2 linked regions of the Lepisosteus oculatus genome follow. The protein of the gene in region 2 interacts with the protein of the main gene of each other region in a biochemical or structural test. Links are inferred from orthologs where the notes say so. Each region holds a gene or a part of one and is shown on either strand. Other genes may lie near its edges.

Evidence for each region. The genes of interacting proteins can lie anywhere in the genome.
Region 1: the proteins of ston2 (region 2) and syt1a form a complex in vitro, tested with the Homo sapiens proteins (2 studies listed by BioGRID). The link is inferred for Lepisosteus oculatus from reciprocal best matches to the Homo sapiens genes STON2 and SYT1.

Annotation. Positions count from the first base shown.
Region 1 is NC_090702.1:20,470,381-20,477,820, reverse strand, and holds the start of syt1a (synaptotagmin-1a), read left to right. Parts: upstream 1-4,392; 5' UTR 4,393-4,677; intron 4,678-7,440. UniProt on the Homo sapiens protein: Calcium sensor that participates in triggering neurotransmitter release at the synapse. May have a regulatory role in the membrane interactions during trafficking of synaptic vesicles at the active zone of the synapse.
Region 2 is NC_090703.1:2,847,510-2,855,493, forward strand, and holds the start of ston2 (stonin-2), read right to left. Parts: upstream 3,058-7,984; 5' UTR 2,241-3,057; intron 2,220-2,240; exon of another isoform or gene 1-2,219. UniProt on the Homo sapiens protein: Adapter protein involved in endocytic machinery. Involved in the synaptic vesicle recycling. May facilitate clathrin-coated vesicle uncoating.

The DNA.
Region 1 (7,440 bases), on a different chromosome or scaffold from region 2:
CTTGACCAAATTAAAAGATTTTAAATGGTCTTGCTGCACACCATTTGCTGAGCAATACACCAATCTGTAAAGCTCTGGGTATGAGATGATATCTTCTTGAGGAAATGGGTCTCTTTTTCAAAGTATCCAAAAGTGAAGACAACACAACAGAGGTGATTATTTCTGTGATGGGTAATGCAATTTATAGTATGGTGCAAGGCTGTTTTCAAAGATCTGTGAAAGTGGCCATGAGAGATCCTTTCAATTTGGGGGTGTTTCCAAAACACTGAAGATATTTGTAAGCATCAATGCTAAGGCCTCAGTTCGTACATTTGTCCTTACAGCATGTTACAGTGCTGTTGCAGACATTCTCCTGGATCACATTAGAGCCCAAAACAATTTGCAACAACAAAAAAACATGCTTTGCCTCATGACAGGTTAACTGGTCGTCTTTTCTGTCAGAGTGTGCAGAGTGAGTTGCATGGGGCAGTGGTGGCCCACCCATGCTGATGGTCCAGACTGGGCCAGTCCTCTCTTTTTCCTTTCCTCTTTTTCTGCAGCTGTGAGTGTCCTTGACATTAAGCTGAAAAACTGACAACTACCTGACATTGAGCAGGATCAGTCTCACTGGCACAGTTGTGCTAGTTACTTCTGAATGCACATCACACGCATCCCAAAAGTGCTTGCTCACAGAATATTCCCAAACCATATGTGGACTGGTGCTAGTAACACACTGACTGCATCTGTGTTCGGACAGGGAGAAATCTTAATCTGGAATCACTGGGATAGTGCTGTAAATATTCTGTGCACAAAATGGATTAGCTGATGATTTATCCCAGTCAGAACTATCATCCAGTTTGTCTTATTCTCTGTCCCAAATAAGAGTACTTTGCAGGGCACTGATATAAGTGGTGAGAAGTCCTATAGAGACTAGACCCTTGAAGCGGCTGTAAAAACAGTTACATCAATCACTAAATCAGAGGGCAAAGCTCTATTTTTGAAGTGCAGATTGTGATTTACGGCATAATAACAAAAAGACAATGGTTTGATATTGCTGCACCTAAAAATATCCACAGAGCAAGTAAGATTCCCTTTGAGTCTAAAGAATGTACAAGCTATTGTACAAAAAATATCAATATTTTGTACACCAAACACAATAAGAAAAAGGGTGTGAACCAGTCATTTAGGGTAGATGGTTGCAAATTGGTAAGAGTTGATAATGTTTTGGGGGGAGTGTTGAGAACACAGCTCTTTATTCTTAGTATCTAGTAAGTTTAGAATAATTTGGCCCTTTCAGAAGTCGTCAATTCTCCTGTTAGAATAAAAAAATAAGAAATAAGAAAATAGCATCTAATGTGTTTAAATAATGCCTCCTCATTTGGGCAGCATGAGACTGACACACAGGAATTAATATCCTATGATGAAAAAACAAATAAAAAATGTTTAAGAATATGTACAGCCAGGCCATTGAAAGCTTTGTGTTACTTGTTGAACCACTGATCGCTGATCAGCTGAACAACTGCAGCCTAGTACAGGAGAATGAGTATGATGTATCTCTTCCAACATGCCCACTGTTAAGACTGCTTGCAATCTGAGCTATTGCAAACTCAACAGTACATTACAGCACCGTTCACACTGTCTGAATAAGCCACACTTCTCCTACTGATGACTCTGCAATTTCACAGTCACCCACTGTGCCACAGGGTTTCATATTGTGTGCAAGCCTGCAATACTACTAAGAATACTCCAACCAGTTCAAGACCTCATAAACCCTGGCAGGAACTTTGCCCTGAATCCTGATCACTAATCCTGGTGAACTAATGAAATAGCTCAGGGCCTAACTGGCTCTAAGTGTAATCTGTACTGCATTTTAAGAAAGATTGTCAGTACCTGACTTTTTTTGATTGCCAAAATGTCCCATACTGGGGAGACAGTTTATTAGATCAAGAGAAATGATGGTAAAACATGATGTACTGTATGTGTTGTAAAAGCAAATTGATTTTTTTATAGTCTCTCAATTATACAGAGTGAAAATTTGATATCTGACAGAAGAGATTGTCTATCCAAATATATTGAAAAGATCTATCTACTGTAAATGATCTTTCACACACTATTCTTTGCCACCTTTGGCTTCCATCTGTAAAATCACATACTGTACCTGCCAACATGCGCCATGTGATCATGTTAATCAAATAGAGTGTTTGCTTTAGCCTACCGCTGGTTACTCTTCATAATGGGAATGAGTGCTAAATGTAACTGTTTTATCTGTTCAGCTCAACAGAGCACTTGGAACCACATCAGATCATTAATGCTTACCATCCACTTTAACAGAAAATACTTTGTGAAAAATTATCAATGAGTATAATTTATTTTTAATTTCCCTAAAAATGTACAAGATCCTTTCATGACGTCATGATGCAAAGCAAAAGATGCATACTATTCTATAGCAGTAACTTGTGTACAGTAGGTTAATAATTTCATAATGCAGTTACAGTATTGTCATTGGATTGATATAGAAATAAATGTACTTTAATATGTACTGTAAATGCTACATAATTACAAAGTATTAAAGTGTACTCTATATACAGTACAGTACACTGTAATTAATGTACCTGTATTTTGAAGTGAATCTGTGTCTAATGTTCTGTTTTCTGTATGCCTTGGAAGAAGGACAGTGCTGTATAAAATATTACAGAATGAAAAGGATTTTGTTTCAGTTTATGAAAAAATGAAGCGGTTCCATACTGATATACATAAAAAGGAGGTATATCTCCCATTGGGCTGATTGGAGCTTGTTCTTCTTTTGAAGAAATCAGTGTTTGTTTTAATCTATCAAAGTTGGGAATATCCTTAGGGTTTGTTGAATAAGGGAATGGAACTGTACTGAAGGACCCTCCTGCTTAAGCTTCCATGATAGCTTTTACATGTCTATTTATTTGCTCCAAATCCCTCTAGAATTACTCAGAGGATTTTATGCATCTAACTCAGACACTCGTACTTTAATACATTTAGGATGTCCAGTGTAGCCTGTTTCTTGTTCTTGCAATTTGGTCAGTTCTTTTTTTTCTTTTACAATTGCTACAATAAAATAAAAATGCATTAGGAAAAAATTGCAGTATTCTATTATTTATATAGTGAATGAAATGAACATGCTGGTGCCTGCTTTTGTATTCTGAAAGAGCACTTGGACTCACATTAATGAGGAACCTTCAAAGCAATGAAAAGCTCTGTAACACACTGAAGACAGAAGTCAAAGTGACTTATCTAATCAGTGCTGGTCAGACTAATCTTTGACCAAATCCACACTTGATAATTATTAAAGCTCTCTCGTTGGATGGAAATAATATTCACATGGCGTAGGAGTTTTATTCTTTCCCAGTCTTACAAACAGCAGGCTCTAGGAGGAAGTGTCTACATCTCCGGTTTAAAATTCTAAGACCTGATAAATTTGGATTAACTCATAGTAAGTTAGCAATCATGACATATACACTGCCATGTGTTAGCTGGTATACTGGTGCCTGTTGTAAAACCTGAAATGGTTCAAACTGCTGCTGTACAGTATTCACCTAGGAGAAAGAAAAAAGAATGATTTACATCGTAGTGACAACAAAGCAAACAAAAAAGAATACAATGGCTTCGTAATGAAAGTCAACCCCCTATTTATTAACAGGAAGACTTAATTTTCTTTCTGTTATTTGATTATATACATTTTATTATAGTTATTCGCTAATCAATGTCAGAAAGAAGATAAAACTGAAGAAACTATACTGTAGTTCACTGGATCTCTACCTGTTGTAACAGGGCTTTTGAGTGAGGAGGAGAGTATATGATTATTATTTTCTCATCTTCGAATAGAAGCAAGATGCTGCCAATAAATAAGATCTCAAAGGATACACAGTACTGTGCGACTAATTGGTAGATATTCCTCACAGATGTTGAAGAAAGGACATCTGTGGACACAACACGTTAAAGGTGTATGTTCCAGTCTAGCTTGTTTTCCATGAAATAATAAATCAAGCTCTTTCAACACAGGGTCCATTTTTTTTCATGTGTATGTTTGTCCATGTTTTATTATTGATATTCCCCTCTTCCCTTGGGAAATCTTGCCATGGCAGTGTCCCTTCCTGGGCTCTAATGAAACCTCAGTGCATTTGTGTAACTGAAGGAGTGGCTGAGGTTGCTAGGATGTGCCCCTCCCTCACATCCCAGAGGAAAAGTGCTTATTTGATGTCCTTGATTGTCATTCGCAGGGGCCCTTGCTACCGGGCGTATGGGATGCTAATGCAAGATGAAAGGGTCATCCTAGTTTACTGCTGCCAGATTAGATATTCCAGGCAGCTCCCCTGCTCTCAGCCAATCACAGGCAAGGACTCCGTGATGCAGGCCCTCTCTCACTGGAGGGATTCCGAAGAAACTGCAGCGTGATGATGCTCTGTTAAACAGTCTAGTGTCTCTCCCTCTCTTTCTCCCCCTCTCTCCCTTCCCAGTGCTAGATAAATCCAGTGTCTTTTTTTTTTCAAATAGGGGATAACACAGCGCCGAATGTAAAGGCTCCCTGAAGGCTGGCCAGAACATACAGGCAGCAGCAAGACTTTCTTTGGCAAGACATCACCTTTTATTCCATGTTTCCAGATTGCATCTTACCTTAAAAGGCAACCATCTAGAGCCCAATTTGCACCACAAAGACAGCAATTCCAGGTAAGATCCTGTTCTCTTTCTCAGCCTTTGGTGCCATGGAAGTCATGTTTTCTGTTACTGAAGTACAGGAAGTCTACTTAACTGTGTGCTCATATTTGTCATCCTTTATGACCCAGTGCCTTCACTGAATTGTTTGTGGTTTTGCTTCATTATTTTTTGGAGGGGAGTGTGTGGGTGGGTAGGAGATTTCGTTGTACTATACTATTGTAGTTATTGGCTGGGACTACCCCTTCACGAGAGTCATGTTTAGGCTGTGCTCTTGTTTATTCAAATAAAGCACTGAGTGCGTGGGAAGACACAGTCGACCTGGAGCACCACACAACTGCTTTCAGATTGCAGCCAGGGAAACTAATCCTTTGGTCCATACCATCAGATAAAGTGGGAAGGTTGTTTTAACAGCTTTCAGATATGATGGACTTATCTTTTACTCAACTTGCTTAGGCTAGAAAAATATTGATTTTCAAATTAACACCTTTGTAAACTGAAATAAACCCACCTTACCAGTTTGTCCTCTTTCTTGCCTCTTTCCACAATTGGAAATGTATCATATTAATCCACACTGTTGTTATGAAACTGAAATAATACATTGTTGCTGGGGTACTGTAGATTATGGAGCTGTTCCTTTGACAGTCTAATACCAAATTTCATTTGGATATGTGTGTGATTACAAAATGTAACGCTAGTGATATTTGTATATGCTTTTGTTCATGTATTCCTGAACTGCAGTATTTGTAGTGTGGGGTTCTCCTCTGTTAGTCTTTACAAGATAATTCAATTGCCAGGTTTTTACATATTAAAACTAAAATAGTAAAAACTTTTTCATGATCTGCAAATATTAACACAGTAAGTCCTAAAATGCCTTATTTCAGTTTACATCTTTAAGTTTGGGTTTGCCATTTCCCTATGTTACTGCACGTTGATAAACGATAAAATAGTAAGGAAATGGTGTCTTTGTTTTCTGTTGTATATTACTTCAATTCATAGGTGGCATGATAGCGGTTGCTATGAACATTTGCCGACATTGCAAGTAACTGCACAGCTGCCTTACATAATACAGTAACAGTACTTACATAACAGATCCTGGATGTGTCTAAACTATACAATTGAAACATGTTTCCTAAATAAGAAAATAAACAGTATCAAGGATATTTTATGTGTTTAAATAAAGTCATGAAATTGACAATCAGTTTATGGAGATTTTTAACATGCCAAACATACCAGGAAAACTCTTGGGCTCTAAGCCTACATGCTTTTAATATGGTTATTGGGCAGCATGCTAATGACAGTTTTTGCAATCTGTAATTCAATCAGCTCTGATACACACTGCCTTCTACCATCATTCATCAGACCCAGCTGAGTGATTTCTGTCAGATTGCAGGCTGTATAGAGATCTCTCCAGGTAAATGTTGCTGGCAGGCTGTTCAAATGCGGTCTTGAATGAGCAGTAGACAAAAAAGTGCCTGGCCACAATGTACTGACAGATGTTAGTTCCCAAATAAATCATTTCCTTCAATTGTCAAGGGGGATGTCATGTTTTTATCCCTTACTGAATGCCCATTAATGAGTAGAAAGAAAACTGATTCTCTGCCGTATGTACTTGTAAGCATACTCCATGTTCAGGATTTTGTATTATACTTTTAAAAGTCTGAGGTTAGAAGAAGCACAATGGAAAAAATGCCACTGGTATTGCACAAGTCCTTTGACATTAACCACTCATTTGGAGTACAGCTGATGGGAAATAAACAGTACTGCTGTTAAAGGTAATTAGAAATACAAAACTAAAAAACAGTAACAGTACTCTTACTGTAGTTCAACCTTGTGATGCTTTGGTGCCAGAGATTTAGCATCCGGAAATGTGCGGCAATAACACTTATAGTACCTGTGTGATAGATAAAAGGGATTTATATTCTTATCAATTTAATATGAAAAATCTTCCTTACTTTTACATGAGTTGGTCATGTAAAAATGGGTTCTGGAGGGGAATTGTAAATAATGTAAAAATGTTAACTTGTCATTTAGAAGGCAAAATGCGCTTATCAAGAAAGGACCAAAAGTGTAACAGGAAATGACCTTGACATGACTGTCCATGTAATGGACCACAAAAAGAAACCCTTCATTGCAGTCAATCTAAGGTGTACAGGTCGTTACTCTGTTATTATTACTTATTTACTTCATTGTGTGTGTACTGTATATTTTTCCTAACATCTGCGTAATTAGATTTGTTGCTCTGGTCCTCGAGGTCACAAAGTCACATCTTATGATGCATTTTCTCTCTTGTTCAAGAGTGTGTTTTTGCTCTAGAATGACAGCTGCATGTTTACATTCATACATATTATAAAAATAGCAATTTTTTAGAAAACATCCAAATCAGCTTAAAATGCTCTGAAAAGTTAATAAAATAAGTTATTGTATTGAAATCGACAATAATTTTTCTATATTATTAAATATTTATAGATAAGACCATGAATCTGCCTCTTCAGTGTACATTTTAACAATATTTATAGGGATTTCCTCTAAACTCCATTTAATTTTTAACATCAGTCGTCATTGTAGCGCCAATTATTACATTAAGGTGAGTTCCGTGAAGGAGCTAGCGTCTCTTGCTTGTGTAGACATGCTGCTTACTTAGTCGCACATCATCTTTAAAATTCATTAACTACTGCAAGACCTCATCACTTCTCTCTGCATACATCTAAAACTACACGTTACTCTCTACCTGGAATTAAACTGCATGTAAAAACATTGTCTGTGTCAGAATAAGCT
Region 2 (7,984 bases):
CCCCCACCACCCTCTGTGTAAAGACGTTCCCCCCCCGTTCTCAATTTGAAACCCATGTCCGTGAGATATGAAGAGGAAGGAACAGCCGTCATGTGTCGGAGGTTTTATTACTGAGCTCCAGTCTGGACCATTTCCTAGTGTCCAGGCCACAGGGTATCCCAGTATTCCCAGTCATGAGCTCTGAAGCTCAGGGGCCAGTACCTTGTTAATGAAATGAATGGGAATTTTCAAGGCCTAAAGTGTACAGTATTTCTTATCAATAGCACACTTGTGTGTGTCTGGCCCAGTAGGCAAGCTGCAGTATACGACCACCATCAGGAGGCTTCGTGGACTGGCTGTTTTAACACCATTCCACTACCGCTGCCAAAGTCCTGATGTGTAAACGGACATTAGGACTTTCCCTCATTATCACCACATCAGAGCCCTTCTACAGACACCACGCAGTGCTTAAGCTCCAGTCAGAGGAAAACACTTCGGAAGGTCAGTGGAAGGTCTGTTACAGGCTGAAGTAGTTCAGGTGGGGCTGCAAAGGAACAAGTAAAGGTTTATTCCCTGCTGAAGAGAGAAGAGAGAAAACACAGCGTTTCGGCCGTGGAACCTTCTTCGGGTGTAACCAGTTACAGGCTGGACAGGGCACACAAGCTCAAAGCTACTGCTCGACTAGCTGTGCCAACAACACATGTTTTTTAAAGTCTAAAATGGAACAATTTCCACAGCCAATGTCAACAGAGTGCAAGTGCGGTCATCAATACTTCTGCAATCAGATCACAGACTGACTCAGCGTGGGCTTCATCACGACATCCGGAGCGATCTTACTGCTCGGCGTCGACTTGTCCCCACTGGAGACCACATACTGTACATATACAGTATATGGAAGGATAAGAATTGGGACCATGTAGTTGAAAAGTAGAGGTTAATTACACGCTGGAAAGAAGGAAGCAGGATGACAAGACAACCTTCTGCGCAGCTTTCTTGATCGTGTGGAATGCCTTTGCATTCTGGAGCACAGGCAGCAGTGTGAAGACGTGGTTGGGGCTCTGGACTCGTAACTGGAGGGTTGTGGGTTCAAACGTGATGGAGCTGAGCTGCAGGACCCTTGAGCAAGGTGCTGTTCAGGAAGCCAGTGGCCTGCCTGCAGTGTGAAACTAGTCTCCCCAGAGCGAGCAAGCTTGGAAAGGGAAACCCTGCTCCAGCGACGACAAAGCCCACCCAGCAAACACCTTCCGAATTAACCACAGCACACAAACCGGAGGACAAGAGGACACCAGCTGGGCGTGCACCCGAAACCAAGAGCAGGAGAGCCCTGCGTACGCCAGTGGGCTGCAGGGCCCAGCACCCTGGTGCCCGCCAACACTCGGGTCAGTGAGCGGCTCACTAGAAATCGGACTAGACCCTCCTCTCCACTGCTGCCTTGACTTTGTATCTGAACTGCAATGTGTGAGGCCCATTCCCCCATCACGAACTGTACAGTGCGCTGCTGCAGACCTCCTGAAGTAGCCAGCGGGACAGGACGAGCTCAGCTGCGCAGGCCAGTGTCTGTTTCAGTCCTGCATTTCGAACAGCTGAGGTGCTTGCAGGGACCCGTCTCGCTGCGTGAAGCTCAGGTGCTGGAGACTTCAGTCGCGCTACCTTCCCCACGAGATATCTGTGCGTCGGGCTGTGCGTGGGACAGGACTCGCCCAGTGACCCACTCGAAGAGCTCAAGACTTACAACGATCCGAGAGAAGGAGCCCTGCAGCGCAGAAGAAAAGGAAACTGCCAGAGACCGCACGCAGTATCGCGAATGCCGGAGCTTATATCGCTGAAGAAGACTATCCTGTAGATAACACGACAGGGAGAAAACATTTCTGCTACAACCCCTCACGCTTTTGCACTGCTGTTTCCTTAATGTTATGATGTGCCGCACCTGACCGGCCAAAAAGCAACACTGGACGGTCAACAGTGAGCGACAGACGCCGGATCTGGGTGCAGTTTAACAAGCAGTTTAACCACCTGCGACACGACACACAGCAGACTGCAGGAAGCCCACGGCGCACCACGTTTCCATGCACAGCTCGGCTTGCGAAATGCATAACTCGTAACCTCGTTTATCAGGGTACATAAAACAAAACGTTGTAGAATTCAAAAAGGGGTTCTCTTCTCTCGACACTCACACGACAGCACTGTACGGCTGAGCGCAAACTGCAATCGGGACCCTAAAGGCACGTCAGAACAGCAGAAGTGATCTTATTTGAAGTTACCGCAGATACCCCTTACCACGCACGCCCACCGCGCTTCTGTCGTTCACCGCTGCCAGCCACCGATCCAACTCTGGGCGACCCACACGGCCGGCCGAGCAGGGGACGTGCTGTACTGTGATCCCCCGCCACCTACGTCTGAGTGGAGTACTGCTGCAGCATGAGAGCTCCCAGCGCACTGGCCGGGCAGGGGCACCACACGCAGGACAGCTCGGGGCTCCAGCCGCTCACCTCCTCGCGTCACGGAGCAGAACCACTTCACGAGGGTGTCGGAGTGGGGGCTCCGGCCCACGGGCCCCCCCGGGGCAGCGCGGCGCGTGCGTGTGGGCAGGCACGAGGGCTGCGGGGCAGGGATTGGTCGCGCGCCGTGGTTTTCTGTGTTGCGGAAAACTTTTGTCGTTTCGGAAGGGGGGAAAAACAAAAAAACAAAAGGCGTGCACTCTAAACAAACGATCGCTTGCTTTATCCTAGAGATCCGTGGGCTCAAGGGACTGCTCCTGCCGATTTTACACGAGCTGTTTGAGGTTACAGAACAGTCCTATCGTATGGTCGCCGAAAAGTTGGGTCCAGAAATCACTTTGTCGCATTTGCAGCGCCATCTGTTGACATTTTAGATTCTTTTCTTGCATGCATTTACTATGTGGGTAAGCAAAAATAAAATATTCACCTTGACACGAAATCATGTTCCTCTTTCACTCAATTTAAAGAATCTCTTGATCAAAAAAGTTTTATTTGACGGAATGAACTCGACATTTTAACAAAAAACACAAATGCATCCTATTCCTTTACCAAATCTGAGAGACAAGTAGAAAGTTTTCAGTTTTCACACAGCGCTGGGCCGGATGTTCTGCAATATATACGAGCAATGTGTAGTAATACATTATCTTGTTTTTTTACTAGTTTCAGATCCTGCCAAGCCGAGATAATAAAAAAAACACTTTTAAATCAGTAGGTGGCAGAAGAGTTCTTATAACGAAGCAGCTTGCATTTGCTATCCGAAATAAAACCGCTGCGCAGTTTCCTATCATGTCTAAAAATATTCTGTGCGGTTTTACATCGTTATATATTTAATGAAAAGCGATCATTTACAAAGCTTACTTTTGGGCTGGATATGACATTTTTAGAGAAATAACTCACATGCATGGGTGGTATTTTATTAGCCAAAAAAAAAAGCTCTTGTCGTGACCTGAATTTGTGGTTGGTTTCGAGTTATTTTGTGCGGGTATTGAATTTGTTCTGTTTCCAGCCCTGGCAGAAACACTGCAAAGAGCCGGTTCGACCGCCAGGTGGCGTCGCAGCGCGCTGCTGCGTCCAAGAGAGTCGCTGTGACTTGTTCGCTTGTCGGGCTCTGGCCCGTTGTATTTGTTTACAAAGAGGTTGCCGTGTTGCAGAACTGTGTTGTTTCCTGTACACCCTGAATTCGGTCTGCACGCCCCCTGCATTTAAAAACATACTGGGGGAAATATTTCCGATCAGAACAACCACGGCTGTAGTCCGATTCCCGGTTTATTTCGAAGCGAGCACGGAAAAGCGCCGCTGTTGCTCTCTTTCCGGGAGTGAAGGTGTCCTCTTTGGCGGAATCAGTTTTTAATGAGAAGTTTCAGTTGTGGCTCGTGTGCCTGCATGTGCTCAGCAGACAGGATTATCAAGTGTTTGTAGTGTTTTTGCTGTTGCTGGAGTCAGGGCTCAGTCTGACACGCTGCTTCTGCGACTGGCTACAGTTAGTAGTCTTTCAACGAGGCTTTTTCCTTAGAGGGGGGAAAAAGTTTTTGCGAGTTTTGAGGGAGGAAGGGGTGGAAATTCCCCCCCCAAAATCCATTTAACGGTAGGAAAATTGGAAATAAATTGTGCACCGAGGCACAAAGCTCGGAAAGTTGTCCTGTGTGCTTTATTTTAACCAGGGCACTTCTCGGAATGGAGCATATTTCTAGCGTGCAGAGATTTTCCTTTGCCCCGCTACAGTCTGTCTGTTTTCCATGCATTCCTGTGCTTTGCGTCATGAAGAGACCGGCCAGCTGAAAAGTCCGACTTCCATCTGTACTGCCTGAAGATTTTAGTGTCCGCATTTCTTCTACCAGAGAGGGATTTCTGCAAACACTACTGTAGGTCACAGACGGTTCATTATCTTGTGGTACTCTATGGCCTAAAATCCGTTATCCATTATTAATGCCTTGCTACACGGTCACCTCAGGTCGGTCATATTGTTCTACAGTTTTATACGGTTGTTTTTAACAGAATCACAAATTGGGTCAAAGAATAAAATGCCTGTTTTTTTGTGTAGTTTTAACCATCAGGAGAGGAGAAAGATATTCCATCTTTGTAATCAGTCTGAACAAGAGCAACCAGCTACACTGTGAGTTTAAAGAAACGTTGCTGAAAGGACCGAGCTTCTTTAGTCTTGAGGGAAGAAGACTACGAGGAAACCAGATTTAAGTCATTCAAAATTCTCAAAGTCAGTGACGCAGTTGAATCCTATGGCCTATCAGAATCAATTTGAGGACACCAGTGGAAACTACATGGAATAAAAGTAAGAACAAGATTAACATTGTTTTACAAGAAGGGTTGTGGGAGCATGGAACAAGCAGCCATGAAGTTGAAGCCAGTATCCAGGCTCCCTTCAAGAGACGGCTGGATGAGGTCAGAACAGTTACAGTAGCTACTAACAAGGGCTGGACGGCCTCCTCCCGTTAGTTACCGTTCTCATTGGTAACCAACTGAACATGGCAAACCAGCAACTGCAAATGTACAAGTAAAGGTTTATTCCATGCTGAAAAGAAACACAACGTTTCGGCTGCCTTGCTCACCTTTTTGGTGTAACTTGTAACTTGCTTCGAAATAAGAAGAGGGTTACTAAAATCATACTGGAGACTCCATTCATGGGCTGTTCAGGGGAATATGTAATATTCGATGTCCTCTGTAAACTCTTATGGAGGCTGTCCTAGCATCTTAGGAATGCATGTTGTTCCACACACTGAAGTCTGAGGTTCTATTCAAGTTCCAGTTAAAAAGCAGTTGTGAACACAGATATTGAAATGGAAAAACTGATAACCAGGTGAGTGAAGTGTGCTGTCGCACACAGGGCATGAGCACAGCACCGTCTTTACAGTATCTTCATGCCACTTGAGTTCGCTCCTGTAGAAGCTAGTGCGTACTCACTGGCAGCAGCCCCACCACGTAATGCACTTCAGGAGCTACAGAGCCACTTTGTAAACAGGTCGTACGTCCTGGTACTATAATTGCACCCAGGATAAGTGTAATTGCAGCTGTCTGCCAAGTCACATTAATCCTCTAAATAAGTTCTCAATTAATTCACTGCAAATCAATTGGGTCTCTTTTTCCACAGGTGGCGAGGCTGCAGAAACAGGGCTAATAGCTCCAGCCTGATTACTACTTGGCTCTGAAAGTGATCAATAGCAGAGTGTTTACTTTTTGCCCTCTTCCCCCTCAATCGAGTGTTTGAAGCACACTCACTCACAGCTACACACACACACTCAGTCGCAAATACACTCATACAGACACACACTCACTCACAGATACACTGACTCACAGAGACACACACACAGATACTGCTGGAGCACGTGTTGAGTTACAGAAGTCACGTCGACACAGAGATGGCAGAGCTCCGCGTTCAATTTCAGTGGCAGGGTGCCTGGAGTTTCCAGTCACCATGGCTGAGCTGAGAGGTGGCATCTTCAGAGAGGACTTGCAATTCCTCATGGGCCCTCCCAGTTTTCCGGAAAAGGGCTCCCCCTAGGCCTATTGATATTTGAAAAATTATATCATTGCAGATGATCTTAGTGCTCCGTTTTGGTTTATTTTGCATTTTACTGATAGCATGTAGTACTGGTACAAAATTTAACATTGCCGCACAGCTGAAGGCAAAAAAAATATCTTACAAAGGAAGTGCAAACATTTACAAAGCCAACATTTTGTAGACTGAGAGCAAAGGTGTTGTTTGAAAATCTCTCTCATCCTACTTATTGATTCATTCATGTTTCATTGATATCGAACTATTCCTCTCCTAAGTGTTTATTGCTTACCTATCAAGAAGCAGGCTGGTAAAAAATCAGCTTCCAAATCTGTCTCAGTGAGGAGTGGGATCTATATCCGGATCCCTTTCACAGCCAGGAGAAAGGGATGTGTTATTAAAGTGGAGTGAACAGGGGAGCTCTCTTCTCCATCTTGCTCTTCAGTGCAACATGTTTCCTCAGGTGCAGGAGGTGGACCTGCAGTGTAATGAAAGATCAAGGGCATTAGAACAGAGAAAAGCAAGGGTGTACCTGCAGTTAGCAGTGTGGATCCAGAACATTAATTTCACTGCAGGCTCATTTGTAGTGGGGGAAGGAGGGTGACAGCAGAAGGCGCTGTTACAGTGTGTGGGAGACGTCATGGGGCTCTGGTTCCCGGGCGCGAGGAAGGAAGGGGAAGGCGTGGTACTGTACCTGCGTTTGCACTGCGAAACCCACTGCCTCCCTTCCCCGCAGCAGTCGAGAGCACGCCGTCAGATCAGGCCAGTTCCAGTATTTCCCTTTACCGCTTGCAAGTACGGTGTGTGCAAAAGAAACACGTTTCCTGTCAACTCTAGTCCATTTGAAAACAGATATTTCAATTCCAGTAATGTGGGAGCCTATGGAACTGTGGCCTTGGATGTGGTTGTCGTTACTGTATATAGCAACAGGACGGGCCTGAGTGCCTCCAACTTCCTAGGTGTCCAGTGAGCTCAGCTGGTTAGGGTGTGGCACTAATAAAGCCAAGATTGCAGGTTCGGCCCTCATGGGTGGCCAGAAGTCCCCAGCTTCTTTTCAGAGGGCACCAGTGGAAACGATGTGGAAGTGCATTTAAATCTGAGAGCAGGAGTCGAGCTGCCTGGCCCTGTTGAAGCCGATACCCCGGTTGCGCTGAGGAAATAGCTGAACCGAGATCATCAGATCAGAGGGGTACAGAAGCAGGCATGGGTTTCAGCCCACTCACACCTTCACAGCTCGTCCAGCAGCAGCTCCAGGGCCTCTTCCCCTCTCCCTGACCCCAGGAGGTCCCGGACAGAGCCCCCGTGTCTGTGAAAGTGCTGGTGGTCCCAGGTGTCGAGGGGCCGTGAAGTAGCACTGGAGAGAGGAGCAGACGTCTAGGAGGTGAACCTGCAGCCCAGCGCACCTGACCTACAGGTATTCAACTGGGAAAGGCACTTCAGAAGTCACAGAGCAGTAGAAATATTAAATACCCAGGCCCTATTTTTTTAATAATATAATGTTATAGAGGTATTCTTTTTGTTTTCAGAGTATGGACTTCCTGTTTACAAATAACACTCAGCACATGGATGTCATTCAAATAAGAATGGGCATAAAAGTATCATGATGAGGTTTCATAATTGTAGCCAACGGATCTGGTTGTTAACGGGCTCCACAGGAAGGATATTCGGGAGCTGAAATCATGGTGTGCTCTGCACAGTCACGACACAAATGCTCATCCCTAAAACCCTCTGGTCTGTCCAGATGTAAATCATAGTGTGGACTACAATGCGGAGATTTCACCGAAACGCTGCAGTGTGTGTGCCTCCCAACCTGGGACTGTGCTGAAAGAAAAGGGGGCCCTTAGATCGATTTCAACAGTGTGTGTGCCTTTTCAATTTCAGCACGGCTCTCCTGCATGCATTACCACTTGTTTCAGCGACACTGAAGACTGACACTCTGGAACAGTTGCAGATGTGTCTCCTCGAGGCGAAGTGAAGCAATCAGAACTTGCAACAGCAA